Canis lupus familiaris: one gene and its partners. The protein of the gene in region 3 interacts with the protein of the main gene of each other region in a pairwise test. Links are inferred from orthologs where the notes say so. Each region holds a gene or a part of one and is shown on either strand. Other genes may lie near its edges.

What was found. The genes of interacting proteins can lie anywhere in the genome.
Region 1: the proteins of TRIP6 (region 3) and SIK3 interact in binary tests that used the Homo sapiens proteins (3 or more experiments, as listed by UniProt). The two-hybrid records come from large-scale screens. The link is inferred for Canis lupus familiaris from reciprocal best matches to the Homo sapiens genes TRIP6 and SIK3.
Region 2: the proteins of TRIP6 (region 3) and FRS3 interact in binary tests that used the Homo sapiens proteins (3 or more experiments, as listed by UniProt). The two-hybrid records come from large-scale screens. The link is inferred for Canis lupus familiaris from reciprocal best matches to the Homo sapiens genes TRIP6 and FRS3.

The regions. Positions count from the first base shown.
Region 1 is NC_049226.1:16,519,831-16,524,692, reverse strand, and holds the start of SIK3 (serine/threonine-protein kinase SIK3), read right to left. Parts: upstream 2,927-4,862; coding exon 2,654-2,926; intron 1-2,653. UniProt on the Homo sapiens protein: Positive regulator of mTOR signaling that functions by triggering the degradation of DEPTOR, an mTOR inhibitor. Involved in the dynamic regulation of mTOR signaling in chondrocyte differentiation during skeletogenesis.
Region 2 is NC_049233.1:10,652,172-10,657,018, forward strand, and holds the start of FRS3 (fibroblast growth factor receptor substrate 3), read right to left. Parts: upstream 2,927-4,847; 5' UTR 2,844-2,926; intron 2,583-2,843; exon of another isoform or gene 2,444-2,582; intron 1,694-2,443; exon of another isoform or gene 1,505-1,693; intron 1,209-1,504; 5' UTR 1,065-1,208; intron 1-1,064. UniProt on the Homo sapiens protein: Adapter protein that links FGF and NGF receptors to downstream signaling pathways. Involved in the activation of MAP kinases. Down-regulates ERK2 signaling by interfering with the phosphorylation and nuclear translocation of ERK2.
Region 3 is NC_049227.1:8,843,670-8,848,328, forward strand, and holds the start of TRIP6 (thyroid receptor-interacting protein 6), read right to left. Parts: upstream 2,932-4,659; 5' UTR 2,628-2,931; coding exon 2,519-2,627; intron 2,261-2,518; coding exon 2,133-2,260; intron 2,047-2,132; coding exon 1,921-2,046; intron 1,634-1,920; coding exon 1,256-1,633; intron 964-1,255; coding exon 870-963; intron 761-869; coding exon 591-760; intron 1-590. Other genes in the region: SLC12A9 (solute carrier family 12 member 9), read right to left, coding at 3,475-4,367. UniProt on the Homo sapiens protein: Relays signals from the cell surface to the nucleus to weaken adherens junction and promote actin cytoskeleton reorganization and cell invasiveness. Involved in lysophosphatidic acid-induced cell adhesion and migration.

The sequences.
Region 1 (4,862 bases), on a different chromosome or scaffold from region 3:
AGATTCTAGAAAGAGGTGGGGGGAAAAAATAGCTCTCTTGGTTCCAAGTGACCTGACTGCAGAAGTAAAATAAACACTGCAGTGCACGGAGAGAAAAATCTATCTCCCTGAGCAATTGAAACAGCAGCTTCTGCATCTACTAGTACCTAGCTAGGCACCTTCTTTGCCATTATATAACCAAACCATGGCCTTAATAGGCCATCACACTGTATGTCAACAGCTGTTAGGCACATCTAAGCTGTCAGCATTTAAGAATCCCTTCCAAAGTGGATTCAGACAACCATGGAGCAGGCCAAAATATGCTCATCGTTCACCCAGAGCACATGACAACTCCTTGTGAATTAAGCTTCACTCATGTCGTCAGAGTAATTTAAGCAGCAAAAGATAGGGCACTTGTAACTGTAACTAGGAAATTGCACACTGCTACAGAAACACAAATGAGCGCTGGTGTGGTCCTCGCACACATGCAACTCATTGTCCAAGCCATTTCATTCGGTATCGTTCAGGATTTCAAATATTTCCATACATACGCATTACATAACTGCACACCACAAATGATCAAAGATAAAAACCAACATAAACAGTGACACCCGTGTATAAACAAGCTAATGTTTAAAATGCTGCTATCCTAAAGGACACCAAGGCCTCGGAGAAAAACCAAGAAACACACACACACACATAGGGAAATTAGAAAGCAAGCAGATCAGCCATAATTAGCCACTGGCTTTGCTGACTACTGAAGATAAAAATGTCTCTTTTATATATAAAGCCAAGAATCAACTGTTTGCAATTACATTTACAAAAACATACAACCCTGTCTGTCACAGATTTTTTTTTTTATCAATATTTTGGTGTATCCAAGGGCTGTAAGACACAAAGTTCTTTAAATCATAGATACCATAAACCAGGAAACCAATTAAGTTCATGGAGTCCATCCCCCAGAGGTCAGAGCAAAATAATCACAGGAGCTCAATGTGATTACTTAGAAGAGAGGGGGAGGTTTAAAAAAAAAAAAAAAAAAGGAAATACTGAAACAAGGAACAAAGCTCTCGAACAACTAGTATTGTTTATAAACATAACTTTGGCTTAGCTAACAGTAAATAGAACTGTAAACACCTGGGTGTGCATGGGGGGGGGGGGGGGGGGACAGGCAGAGACGCACCAAAGTCTTGGCTCAGTCTAGTCCCCCTCAGGGTCTGAGGGTGACATCAGAGAATCCTGGACTTTGGTATCTCATTCAGCTCAGACCTGCAGACTTGAGGCCCTCCCATAAAAACTGACAAAAAGGCTGAAGGGGGCCCCCCAGAGGAAGTGAAACTGACCAATCAATTTTCCACAGCCACCTACCCTGCTACCCTGGTGGAAAGGGCCCCTTGTAGGCTCTGACAGAAAGGAGGGAAAAAAGGAACTTCAGGTTGTGAGTGAGCAGGAGAGAAGGCCTAGATAAGTTACTGGCTTCTGAAAATAAGCAATTGCCATAAAAGCAAAAAACAAGGCAGGCGATGATAAGGGCCAGACTGAGGAGGTGAGGAATTGATGTGGCTTTGGTAGGAAGCAGGAGCAGCAGCTCTAAGGGTGCTTCATCAGGTTGAAGGAAAACACAAACTGCAGTTTTAGATATAATGAATGACTACACTGAAAGTATTCATTCAAGTGAGAGATTGAGCAAAGCAAGAGATCTGGAGTACAAATGGGCTTTGTGGGTCCTCTCAAGACCAAAAGATTCCTCCTGAGGACTCTGGTTCCAATACTTCCAGTGAAGAAGGCTACCCCACATTTCCTCAAAAAAAAAAAAGGAATTTTACATGTCAAACCGTACATGTGTACTTATGTGCCTTCCTAACTGACCTTGGCCCATTTCACTAGTAACAGCTCCGCAAATCCCTGGAGAACCAAAGGGCCCAAGGAGTGTACTGATCCTCCAGGGTCTGGGTTCCTCCAACACCTCCTCCGTCACCCACCGGGCTTCCCCCACCACCGCCGAGAGCCCACCCCGGGGCTCTCTGAAAGCCCACGATTCCAGACCCTGCAACAACTAAAAATAAAGCAGCAACCCAGCTCTCCCGAACCGCTTACCCCCTGACTCCCTAGTGCCGTCACGACCCCGGGCGCCCTGGGCCTCTGCTCCCTGAGCCCCTTCCCGCGGAGGAGCCACGCGATCTGCCTCCCCCTCGTTTCCCCGTTTTCTCCGTCGCCTCCTCCAACGATCTCGGGGCCGTCCCCGGGCTCCCGCTCCCCGCCGCGACCTCCCATCAGTCCCGGGCGACCAAGCGCTGCCCGGCGTGTGTCACGGGGCGCCAGGACCGCGCACCCCCGCAGCCCCGCAGCCCCGCGCCCCGGCATGCCCCGGCCGTCCTTGGTCCTCTCCGAAGCCCCCCCGCGGCCACCCCGCGGTCCGCACCTCCTAGCCCCTGCCCCCGTCCCCCGGGGGCTCCAACTGCGGGCTCCCGGGGCCCCCGGCTTCGGGGTGCGGCTCCGCCAGGAGTCCCAGAGCTCCCCCGCCGCCCCCCGCAGCCCCGGCTCCGCAGCGTCGGTCCCCGGCCCCGGCCGCCCGGCCCCGCGCCCCGCGCCCCGCGCTCGCCCCGGCCCCGGCCCCGGCCCCGCGCCCCCGCCCCCGCCCCCGCCCCGGGCCGCGCTGCCGCCGCGCCGCTACCTTGGCCTTGGTGACGAGGTGCGTGGCCCGCTTGACCACCGCGAAGTTGCCCTTGCCGATGGTGCGGTCGATCTCGTAGTAGCCGATGCGCGCAGGCACCGGCCCGCGGGAGGCCGGGGCGGGGGGACGCGGCGGGCCGGCCGCCGGGGGCACGGCAGCGGGGGCGGCCGGCGGCCCCGGGGCGGGCGGAGGCAGCAGGCGGCCCGCCGGCCCGGCTCCCCCCGCCCCGGCCCCGGCAGCCCCGCCAGCTCCGCTCGCCGCCGCCGCCGCCATCTTGTTGTGCAGTGAAACCTCCCGGGCCGCGGGGAGCCGGCGGGGGGGAGGGGGCGGGGGGCGGGAAAAGCGGGGGGGCCGGCCCACGTCACTCCGGGAGGCGGGGCGCCCGCGCCGCCGGGGCCCGGCGCCATGGCAACGGCGCGTCACGTGCCGACGCGCGTCACTGCCCGCGGCCATGGCAACCGTGACGTCACCGGCCCGCCCGCCCGCCCGCCCTCCCCGCGTGGGACGGCGGCCCGGGCGCTGGCTCCCGGGCGCCCCCCTCCGGGGACGGGACGGTGCGCGCCGCCCGCCCGCCCGCCGCTCCGGGACGGCCGCCGCGCTCGCGCTCGCGGGCGGGGGCGGGGGCGGGGGGGGCCGCGGGAGGTGCAGGCCACGGCGCTCCAGGCCACCCGCCCCCTTCAGCAGTCGCCCGGCCTCCCGTGAACCAAAGTACTGCCCCGTCCCCGGAAACCGCGGCCTCGTCCCCCTTTAGCCCTCGAGGCCCCCCAGGCAGGAGCAGCCGCCGCGCCGAGGAAACCGTCAGCAGGCCGGTGGCCGGGCAGGGCAGTTCTTCAGCAAGATTCCTTCCAGCAGCGCAACTGCCCCGCGGCCACCGGGCGCCCCGTCACGGCCCGCGGGGTGGGGGGCGCGGGGGCGGGGCCGCGCGGGGATGCGCTCCGCCGGGGGTCTCCCTCCGCCCGGCCTCCGGCGACCCTGCAGCGGGGGGCGGTCCCGGCGGTCCCGGCGCCGCGTCCTGCTCGTGTCGCTGCCGTGACCCGACGAAGCAGCTGCGCGTCGTCCAGCAGGGCCACGTCGTGCTCAGGGACGAAACCGTCTGTTAGGCAAAATGAAGAAGCAGGTTCTGGCATCATGATTCCCTCCCCACGGGGACCCTCCAAAGACATCGAAGGTGACCAAAGTGACGCTTCCAACAGTGAATCTCACACTCTCTCTCTCTCTCTCCTTCCTCTGCCATCCGGATCCCCCAGGGCCCCTCCTCACTAGCTCCGCGCTTTCCCTTCCACTTCGTCCCACTGCTTCTATTAACTAGATTGATTTAATTGCTTTGGGGGGGGGGATAAGAGGGATAGGCGATGGGGCTGGCAATGGCAAGGTGGCCTTTGGCAGCCTGGGGGGTGCTAGAGACAGGGAGAGGACTGAACGCTCCAGTGTTAAGATGTGCTCAGTCCGGTCCGGATCCATCCACCTGGACGTCTGCCTGTCTGTGCGGCGGAACTGTGTCGTCAGGTGACCGCATGTACCATACCAAAACTGACACCCAGGGCACCGTGAGTGTGTGAGGAGGAGGGAGCCTATTGACTCTCTCTGACCCAAAAATGTTTACGAGCGCGTCCTGGCTCCCCATCTGACTATGAGTAATGGCTGGCACTAGGACGGGACAGAGAGGTCATCCCACAATTGTCTTGCATCAGTTCCCTGGTTGCTGTTCCAAACTGCCAACACAATTAACAGTAATTGGCTGCTTGACTAGCACGTAAGGATAAGGATGCAATGGTCCTCAGCTTCTTGTGTTGGTTAAGCCCTTGCCTTGGTTGAGCTCATTCAATCCCAAATAAATGATGGGGTGTGCCCAACCTCTCTTAGCACTTCATGACCTCACTCACCTGCCTGTGCATTAGCTTTAGCGCTGCACTCCAGAGTCACAGTTTTGCCATCTCCCTGGGGTGGGGGGCCTCAACAGAGATCTTAGCTGGCTAGTAAGGCAAGGGGAAAAGAATCTTTTACTGGGGAGGAACAGAACCAAAACCATTCTCACCAGGGTCTTCACAGCCTCTCCTCCGCTCACAGATATCATTGAACATCCAGTACCACAATTTCTGGCACTCTCTGGAGGGTGTCAAAAGCAAGAAGCTTCTGAGGAGAAACTGGGAAATGGAGCATGGGTCAGTCTCACTTCCAAAGAGGAAAGGCAGATCATGCTGGTCCCTAA
Region 2 (4,847 bases), on a different chromosome or scaffold from region 3:
TTGCTTGCATGCTCTCTCCCTCTCTTTTTTGAAAAGATGAATAGAATAGAATAGAAATAGAATAGAATAGAATAGAATAATAAAATAAAATAAATAATAAAATAAAACAAAATAAAATATAAAATAAAATAAAATTAAATAAAATTAAATTAAATTAAATTAAATAATATAAAAGGCAGGGAACCAGAAAAGTGATTTTCTTCAGAGGGAGCTGGATGCCAATCCAGAGCCTTCATGTGGATTCAGCAGAGAAACTGTAACTTGGGAGTCCCCGACACTTTGGTCTGGACCTTCCTCTTTTTCTTTTTTTTTCCCCTCTTTTCTACCTTACCCTTCCCACATCACTCAAATTCTTTTTTCTTCCCTCACCACCATCCCAAAATGGACTTCAAATTTATCTTTTTGATGTTCTCTTCTGTGAGGCATCACATCACAGTCAAGATACAGTAAGAAGACTAAATTCAAAACAGCACATTTTTTATAACCTTGATTATGCATTTCTTCCTTTAAAAAAAAAAAAAAACTCTGGGTTTGCTCCTCTTTGTCTAAAAAGGAGACCAGAGGCCTTAGTATCTGGCTTTTCCCTCCAGGATTATAGCACTTGGATTACATGTCACAACAGTTGGGCCTTTGTCTAGAATGGAGAGGAGACCGCCAAACTGGAGTGACCTTAGGGAGCAAACAAATGCACAGAACAGTCGCAACCAGAAGGGTTGCAACTTGATGCAAGAAATCAATTTATAAGGGATACCTGGGGAGCTCAGTCAGTTAAGCCTCCAACTCTTGATTTCAATTCAGGTCGTGATCTCAGGGTCATGAGATTGAGCCCCACATCAGGCTCTGCACTCAGCAGTCTGCTTGAGATTCTCTCTCCCTCTCCCTCTCCCTCACTAAATAAATATATCTTTAAATAAATATATCTTTGAAAAAATGAATCTGTAAGATCAGATATCCTTCAGGAACTCCCACTGAATGTGTAAAGCCCTGAACAATCCTGACTGATATCCCCCATTCCTCCCGACTTGGAAAACTCCAGAAGAGTGGCTCCTTTACACAGCTCTCACCTCACCCAGGCCATCGGGGAGCTGACCATGGGAGGGGCATGGGGAAGGACCCCCACTTTATTCCCCCTGTTCTTGGTGGGGCATCATGGCAAGTAGTCTGCAGAGAAGTCACCTGGATCCCTCTGGGACACACCTGGGGCTCACCTGGCACAGGAAACAAAGACCACAAGTTAGCGGAAACCTTCCATGCTCGCCCCCAATTGTTAATGAATTCACTTGCTGTCAATCCATCCCACCTGGATATCTGTTCCAGGTCCTGACAGGACACACAATGAAGAGAGTGAGTTCAAGGCCAAAGGGCCACAAATCCAAGCCCCCCAGGCCCTGAAAGGGAGCCACTACCCTAGTTGCAAGGAATCTGAAGTCGGAGACAGCCTTTTCAGTTGCCCCTAGAACCCATCTGAATCCTGTTACAACCAACACCAAAACCACCACCTTACCTTTGCAGAAAACTTTAACTCTACAGAGAGCTTTCTGAAAAGGACACTGTGATGTACTGGAAAGAATGCTGGCTTAAGATTCAGGAAACGAATGATCTAAGCTGGCACTAAGCATCTGGGAGACTCTGGCAAGACAATCCCCTACCTCCCACCTCAAGGCCTTAGTTTTCAAGGGAAACCTCTGTAAATGGCGAGGTTCTGGCTTAATTAACCTGAAAGCGGTTAAGTCCGTAGTAAAATGGTCACGAAAACGGGTATTTGCCCCTTCCAGGACAAGCTACGCTCCCTCCATCTGACATTTGGAAACTTGATAGATATTCTGTTCTCCAAGCTTTGTAACGCCTAAAATTTTAACATAAACGCTAACAATAAATCAAAATTTCAGGGATCCAGGGGATTCAGCCCCAGGTGGACATGTTGACAAGCCAGGGCCTTGGAGATCCTTGAAATCCCACCCTCCTGCTTTCCAAAAGCAATATCCTTTCCCAGGGGACCCTTGTGCTCTGCTTCCTCCTACAGCTTTCCCGGTAAAGGGACCCCCATCCCTCTGGTCTGGCTTATGCTCTGCAAGAAGGAAAAAGGCTGAGGGAGGTGTGCACAGCCTGAAGACAGGCAGCCGGGAAAATACTGAGGCTGGAGCCACCAACAGGGAGTCTGGGGGTGAAACCAAGAACTATAGGGTGCAAGATGGGGGAGGGTGTTGCACCTTTTTCTGTCCCCTTCGTTTGTCTTTAGGATATCAGAACGTATCATGACACTTCAGTGACGGGGGTGGGGTGGGGGGGGTGGTGGTTACAGTGGCTGGGACAGGTAGGGGCTCTGGTCCCCCAGAGGTGTGGATCGGAGGTGGGAGTGTCAGGGTGGGTTATGGGGACTCAAAATATAGGAGGGCTTGCGGAAACATGGGTAAGTTTTCTGCATTAAAGCGTGGTGCAAGGAGAACGGGGCGTATGCAGGATCAGGAACCGCAGCGCTCTGGAAGCATCTGGGGGGCATTCCGGAGAGTGGTGGCTCTGCGGGCGTGAACAGGAGAATTCGCAGGAGTGAGGGGGTTCCAAGGGCTCCAGGACAAGCCGAGGTGTGTCCGGGGTTGGGGGTGGGGTGGTTCTGGGGAATGAGCGACAGATTCGGGTGGCGGGGTTGTCAGGGAATTTCTACAGACACCGGGAAGCGATGGGGGAGGTCGGGGCCGCGCGCCGTCCCAGATCCCCGCCCCCAGCCCCGGGACTCCACCGCCCGCCCGCCCAGGGCTTCCTCGGGAGGGAGCGGAGGCTGTGGCGCGGCGCGGTGCGGCCTCGGTGGAACCGCCTCGTCCCCGCCCCGCCGCGCCCCGACTCACATCGCCCCGCGGCCCGGGCGGCGCCGGGCCCCGCTCCCGGGTCCCGCTGCAGCAGCCGCCGCCCGCCCGGAGCTAAGGCCTCCCCGCCCCGCCCCGCCCCGCGGCCGCGGGGTCGGAGGTCACCGGCAGCACCAACGAGACGCTGCGGGCGGGCGGACCCGATCGGGGGCGACCAGCGCGCAGCCTAGAAGGTCCCCTTGGAGGACTTTGCAGTCGGGAGCGGGGAGCATGCGCAGACGCCAGAGGGCGCTCCGGGCCAGCCGCGGAGCTAGCCCCACGGAGAGGGGCGGGGCGGGGCGGGGGCGGGGCCGAGAAGGGACCCAGAGATGGGACCGGAGGTTTCCACTCCCCGGATCAGAAGAGGGACCGGGGTCGGGGGAAGAGACAAAAAAGATAGGGGAAGGGCCTGAACGGCCTGCCTGCAGGGAGAAAGGCAAGATGAAGAATCCCTAAAGAGGGCTGGGGACCGGGGGAGGCAACTGAGAGGGGTGAGGAGAGGGGCGGGGCCGGAGGAGGGTCTGAGGGGACCTGCCGGCTCGGAGAGGCGCACGGTTCCGCCAATGACTGAAGACCCGGCCCGACGGCGGCTCCCAGGTGTCCGCCCCGTGCCCGCGGGGGCGCAGTGCCTTCGCGAGCCCCTGGGAGTGGGGAGGGGCAGTGGAGCCTGCACTCTCCACCCTGCGGTCCCCCAGATCCTGTCCTTCCGGCTGCAACTCCAGGCCCCGCGCCAGCTGCCCGCTCTTCCAGTCCGGGAGGGGCGGGCGGGGGCCGCGGGAGGCGAGGGAGAGGGCGGGCGGCGCTCCCGGGGCGGGCGGGGGCGGGCGCTGAGGCCTCAGGGTGGGGACTGGGCGGGGGGCCGGCCGGCGGGGTCCGTCCAGAGCTGCCCGGACGCCGGCGCGCAGCGAGGGTGAGACCCCGGCGGAGTCCCGTGCCCTCCCCTAAGCTCCCAGCACCCAGACTGGGAACCCCGGGGTTCCCGACTCCCGGGGACGTCCAAGAACAAGCCCTAGGAATCTGTCGAGGGGACACTTGGCAGGGCCGGGTACTTCTCTCTCTCGCTGTCCGCGGAAAACCTTCCCATCCTTTTACCTCCCTGGTCCCTAGGGCTGTGCAGGCTCTGCCCTCCAGGGCAGGGGCGGATTGGGAAGAGTGAACTCTTGAACCGGGTTGCACCTGCGCGGGGGCGGGAGACAGGGTTCAGCCCTGAGAAGGAGGGGGATTCTTGAAGAAATCCAGCTTGTTAGTAAGACCGGGTCCAGGGCTGAGTGGAGATGGGAGGATGGAAGGGTGAGGGGTGAGAGCTGACTTCTGAGCATTGTTTCTGTGCGGGGCAATTGCAGACAAACTAGAACCTGGAAGAGGGTGCAAATCCACCCTGAGGTCCCAGGTGGCTCCGAACCCTCTCCCAAGTGCCTCTTGCCGCCTGGATGGAGCAGGGGCAGTGCTGTCAGGGGAAGTGGCTACTCCTGGCCCTGAATGTGAACAGCCCATCCTGGCTGCTTTCCACAGGAAACATGACAGAACAGGAAGGAAGCAGATGGGTGTGGAAGCAGGGATGGGTGGCACAGGACGTCTGAAGGGGGTGGGAGGGCTGGGAACCAATATAACTGTTAAGAGTCCAAACCTTGTTCTCAACTCCACAGCTGAGTTTTATAGAGGCCTGGGATCTGGTGAGGACCTCCTGTGCCCTAGCTGCTGTCAAAATCCATCCTAGACCTCAAAGGCAACTTCTTCCTAGGACATCCCCCAGTTTTTTAGTGTGACCTTAGGCAAGTTAACCTCAGTTTGTTTCAGCTCTCAACTGGGATAACAGAAACTACCTGATAGGATTGTTTTAAGGATGCATTCTATTATGTAAAGTGCTATTTTGGTCCCTTGCACAGAGTAAACATTACAGAAAAGTTTGCTCTGGTTATTTTTCTCCTAGAGTGCCATATATACCTGCCTAGAGCTCTGGCCCTATTCAGTCTAGTCTCATCTCTCTCTTATCCACAGGAGTATGAG
Region 3 (4,659 bases):
TCCCAGCACTGTAGCTTCCTACAGAAGTGATCCAGTCTCAACTTCCGTTTCCTACAGTAGTATCAGCTGCTTCACAGGGGCAGCAGTGTGGAAATTTAACATATTCCCTTAACTCAAGATAAGTCTGGTCTCCTCCTCTTCTTCCTCCTCCTCTCACATTTGTAAGGAACTATTGTCCTTTCCCTCCAGCAGCCAGTAATTTCACTACTTTCCCAATTCCTTCCTTCTTACACATCAGTTTAGTCCCCCAGCTTGGAGTTCTTTTTTCCTTTAAGACTTTATTTATTTATTCATGAGAGACACGGAGAGAGAAGTAGAGACATAGGCAGAGGGAGAAGCAGGCTCCCTGGGGGGAACCCAATACGGGACTCAATCCAGGGCTCCAGGATCACCACCTGAGCCGAAAGCAGATGCTCAACCACTGGGCCACCCAGGCATCCCCCACCTTTGAATTCTGTCCCTCTCATGTGCTTAGACATCTAGTTTCCACCTTAGATGGAAGCCTCCTGCCTCCTGCTACCTTAGATGGAAGCCTCCTGCCTCCTGCTACAGACTCCAGCACCCAGGCCACCCCCAGCACACCCACTCACCACATAGCAGCTCTCACAGTACGCCCTCCTCTCCACAGCATAGAAATGTTGGCCCCGAAGCTGGGCCCGGCATGTAGAGCACACGAAGCAGCCAACGTGAAAGACCCGGTCCAGGGCCACAACGCCAGCCCCATCCCCAACCACATCTTCCCCACAGCCGCCGCACCGCCCTGGGGACAGGGAGGGACAGGGTCAATAAGCATGCAGAATGGAAGGTGGATTCGCTGTCCCCTTGACTCCCCAGTCCCCTGCCCCCCTTCCCACCTCAGGTCAGCTCACCAAAGTACTCCCCGGTGGGAGGATGGTTCATGTCATGCACCAGTTTCTTCGTCAGCCTCTCAAGCTCTTCCTCAGGAGGCTGGTTCAGGGGGACCTGAAAGGGGGGAGTCAGGGGTTCAGCCCTACCTCCAGCTCCCTATGCTGTCAGACTTTCCTGAAGGGGACCAGGCAGTTCCAAGCAGAAAGCTCATCTGACGAGGTCTCAGCCCGGGGCCCAGGGGTGCACCTCCAGGAGCCAGTGTACAGCTCCAGCACCTCCCTCTTCTATTTCCTGACCAGCGCCACATCCCTGGGACCCAGAACTCCAACACCCCAGGACTCCCCACCCCACCCAATCAGTGTCCAGTTGTCCATGAGGACCCCACATCCCAATACTTAGGGCTTACCTGGGGCCCATACGCGCCTCCTCTTCCTCCTCCTGCAGCCTCCTCTTTAACCCCTGGCCCTGGCTCATGGTGGCTCCTATAGCCAGCCCCCCAGACTTCACCTTGGCCTGGGAGAGGAAAGTGAGGGCCCGGGAGGGCCCCGGAGGCCTGAGAGGCCCCCCGCCTGGGAGGGCCACAGCCTCTCACTGGTTGTGCCACCTTCACTTGCACAGGGAAGGCAGGGCCAGCGGGGGTGCTGGCTGTAGCATAGGAGGCTGGAGTGGGGCCCCCATAGGGAGACGCTGAGAGCTGTTGGGGAGGAATAGGAACACCCCCTCCATTCGGCTTCAGGGAGCCTGAGCCTGTGCGGTAGGCATGGGGCTGAGGGGGCTCATAAGCCTGGGGAGAAACAGACCAGGAGTGAGAAGGCCCATTCCAGGACACACACTTGTGGGCCCTCCCACGTGTGTGTGTGTGTGTGTGTGTGTGTGTGTGTCCCCAAGGTAGTGCTGGTCTTTGACAAGCACTCAAGAGGCTGACAATCTAGTAAGATGTGATACTCCTGCATGTATCACACATGGGGGCAAGGGTGAAGGGTACCAGGTTGAGAATCTAGGGAAAGGACCAGGATGGGGAGTGTGGAAGAGGGCAGGAGACAAGGAACAGGGGTGGGACAGGGAAGTCACCTGCCGGTCTGACCGCCGTGGGGCATGACCACGACCTCCATCCAACTCAGCCAGCATGCTGGTCAGCGAATCTATCTCGGCATCCAGACTTCCTGGACGCAAGGCCCCCCTGTCTGGGGGGAGCCCCTGGAGATGAAGAAAAAGCAGGGAGAATTCAAGTCACTTGCCCCGGGTGCCCCCACCTCCCACCCACTCCCAATTCCAATTCTCACCTGTGAGCGCTGGGGTGCTCCATGGCACCCCACCCAGGGGAACCCCCGATCATCTGGTCCCCCGGGGGCCTGGTAACACTGCTCAGATGGGAGGGGGCAAAAATTGACCCTGGGGTGGGGCTGATGTGCTAGGGTGAGGGAAAAGAGAGCCAAGGTGGGGATGGGGAAGGAGGGGAGGGTGACACTTATGGAGGCCGCCCTCATGGGTCACTCTTCTCCCCTCCCCCCCCACACTTGGAGTCCCAGAACAGAGCAGGAGCAGGAAGCCGGAAGGGCTTCAGGGAAGGGGTGGCAGGGACAAGCCAGGGGCAGGAGGCAGGAACCAGAAGGCGAAGGTGAGCTCAGAATGGCCAGTGGCCTCCTTGGCGGCACTGGGGCTGCCTTACCTGCTCCATGGGCTGGCGGCGGCCCCGGGGCACCTCGGGGGAGTGCTCTCCCCTGAGGGGCTCTTGCAGGCTCCAGCTGCCTTGGGGGGAGCCAGGTGGGCCCCGACATGGCCGGGATCAGGAGACTCTAGACAGCGGTCAGGCCCCACGTAGCCCCAAGACTCTGGTCTTGGCCCCTTCTTCTGTCCCACACCTCGTTTGGAACTCCAGGAAAGAAACTTTTTCTGGCCTTTTTTTTCCCCTTCCTCCCCAATTTTGGGGACAGCCACGCCCCCGGTGACGTCACCACATTCCTGGGGGAGGGTCACGTGGCCCCCTAGGCCCTAAACTGCCGTCCCTCCCCCAGTCGGCCCCCTCCCGCCGAGCAGGGAGAGCTTTCCAAGGCTGCCTCCGTTTCACTCGTTCCCCCAGACTGGCGCCCCAAGTCCCGCACGTGGCCACCTCGCCGCTGGGACGCGCTCCAGCGCGGCTCTTTCCCACACTCCCCCAACCAGATCTCTCTCTTCCCGCCCCACCTACCGCCCCTAGCAGTGCTCAGCCAGGCCAGCCCATAGTGTTTTGGTCTTTTATTCACGTTCAGCGGTTAGAAAAATAAAACAGAACAAAAACATCACAACCTCAGGGGTCTGCGAGTCTGTTGGGCAAGGGGAGACTGAGGTAGCCGAGAGTCAAAGCAGAGACCCAGCCTCCATCAAGGCACCAGTGAAGGAAGGGAGGCCAGTGGGGAGGGCTGCTGCCTTTCTCCCCCAGCGTGGTGGGGACACAGCTGCCCTGCATTAGTGCACTAAAGCCCCTCTCACAGGGACAGAGGGGTGCCCCAGCCCAGGATCCCCTAGTACTTCCACAGGGCTCCACACCCCACACGTGGAGCAGGCGGGAGGCTGCCCTTCCCTTCTGCATCCACTGATCAAAGCAGGTCACCGGACCTGGGCACCCTCTGCTCCAGGCCCCGGGCATCAGAGATCAGTGCAAGTGACTGGGGTGACTCCGTGAATGAGTAGCGTGGGGCCCAGATCATGGGTCAGAGTCTCCAGGAGCGCCAGGTAGCGAGTGTAGCAGGCAGGATCGGCGGGCGGCCGAGGCAGGTATAGGAAAGTGAGGGCTGTGGCAGGCCCACCTTCGCCATCCGCACCCTCAGGCCCACCGGGCCCGCCTCCTCTGCCGCGCCCCTGCTGGGCCCGAACCAGGGCGTTAGCACTGCATGCCAGGGCCTCTGCCTCAGCATCTCCCCGCCTGCCATTCACAAAGTCTCCTTCCTCCTCCTCCTCCTCCGGCTCCCCAGCCCCAGCCCCCTCACCCCACACCACCTCCTGTACTTCGGCTCTGATCCTCAGCTGGCTCAGCAGTGCCCGGAGCCGCCCCTCAGCCGCCCCGGGGGCCTCTCGAGGCCCCAGGCACAAGAAGATCCGGAGCCGGGCGCTATGCCAAGCAGGCACCATGCCCAAGATGGTTGCCATCTGCAGCAGGAAAAGGCCACACACATCCACGTAGCCAGGCCCACCCCGGGGCCGCAGCAGGTTGAGAGGCCACACATCCACGTGATGTGGCTGAGAGGTACCCCCTGAACCCCGGCTCAGCCGCTCCGGGGGCAGGGCCCCACAGGCCCGGGCCAGAACCACATTCTTGTTCATCTTGAGGGCGTCTGCCACTGTGGCCACATAGTCCTGGGGGCTGAGAGCCCGGGGGCTCCCAGGAGCCCGGGGTGGAGGAAACAGAGTGCTCAGGGCTGGGGACCCACCCTCCTGGGTGCCATCAGTAGCCTCGGAGAAAGCCGGGTCTGTCAGGAAGTGGTCCTGGGGTGCAGCATCATCATAGAAACCTAGGACCAAAGTGTTGGGCTTCATGCCACCTGGGAGCAGAGAGGGGGAGGTGGGAAGAGACAGGAATCAGACTCACAGGCTGAGTTTACACCACGCGAATACGCACCCACTTGCACACGCTGACAGCGACACACGTCAGCCATCAGGTATGGCATTTGTACAGTGCTTGGGCTCTCCAGGCTGCACGTTTGCATAATGACTTTTAGTTTTCCTTAATGCTTTTGTATACTTTTATTTGTTGTAACTGCATGACTAATGTTCCCCCACTTAAACGTAACGCAAAGTTTGCCTTAGGAGCAATTCTTCTTAACTAATGAGCAC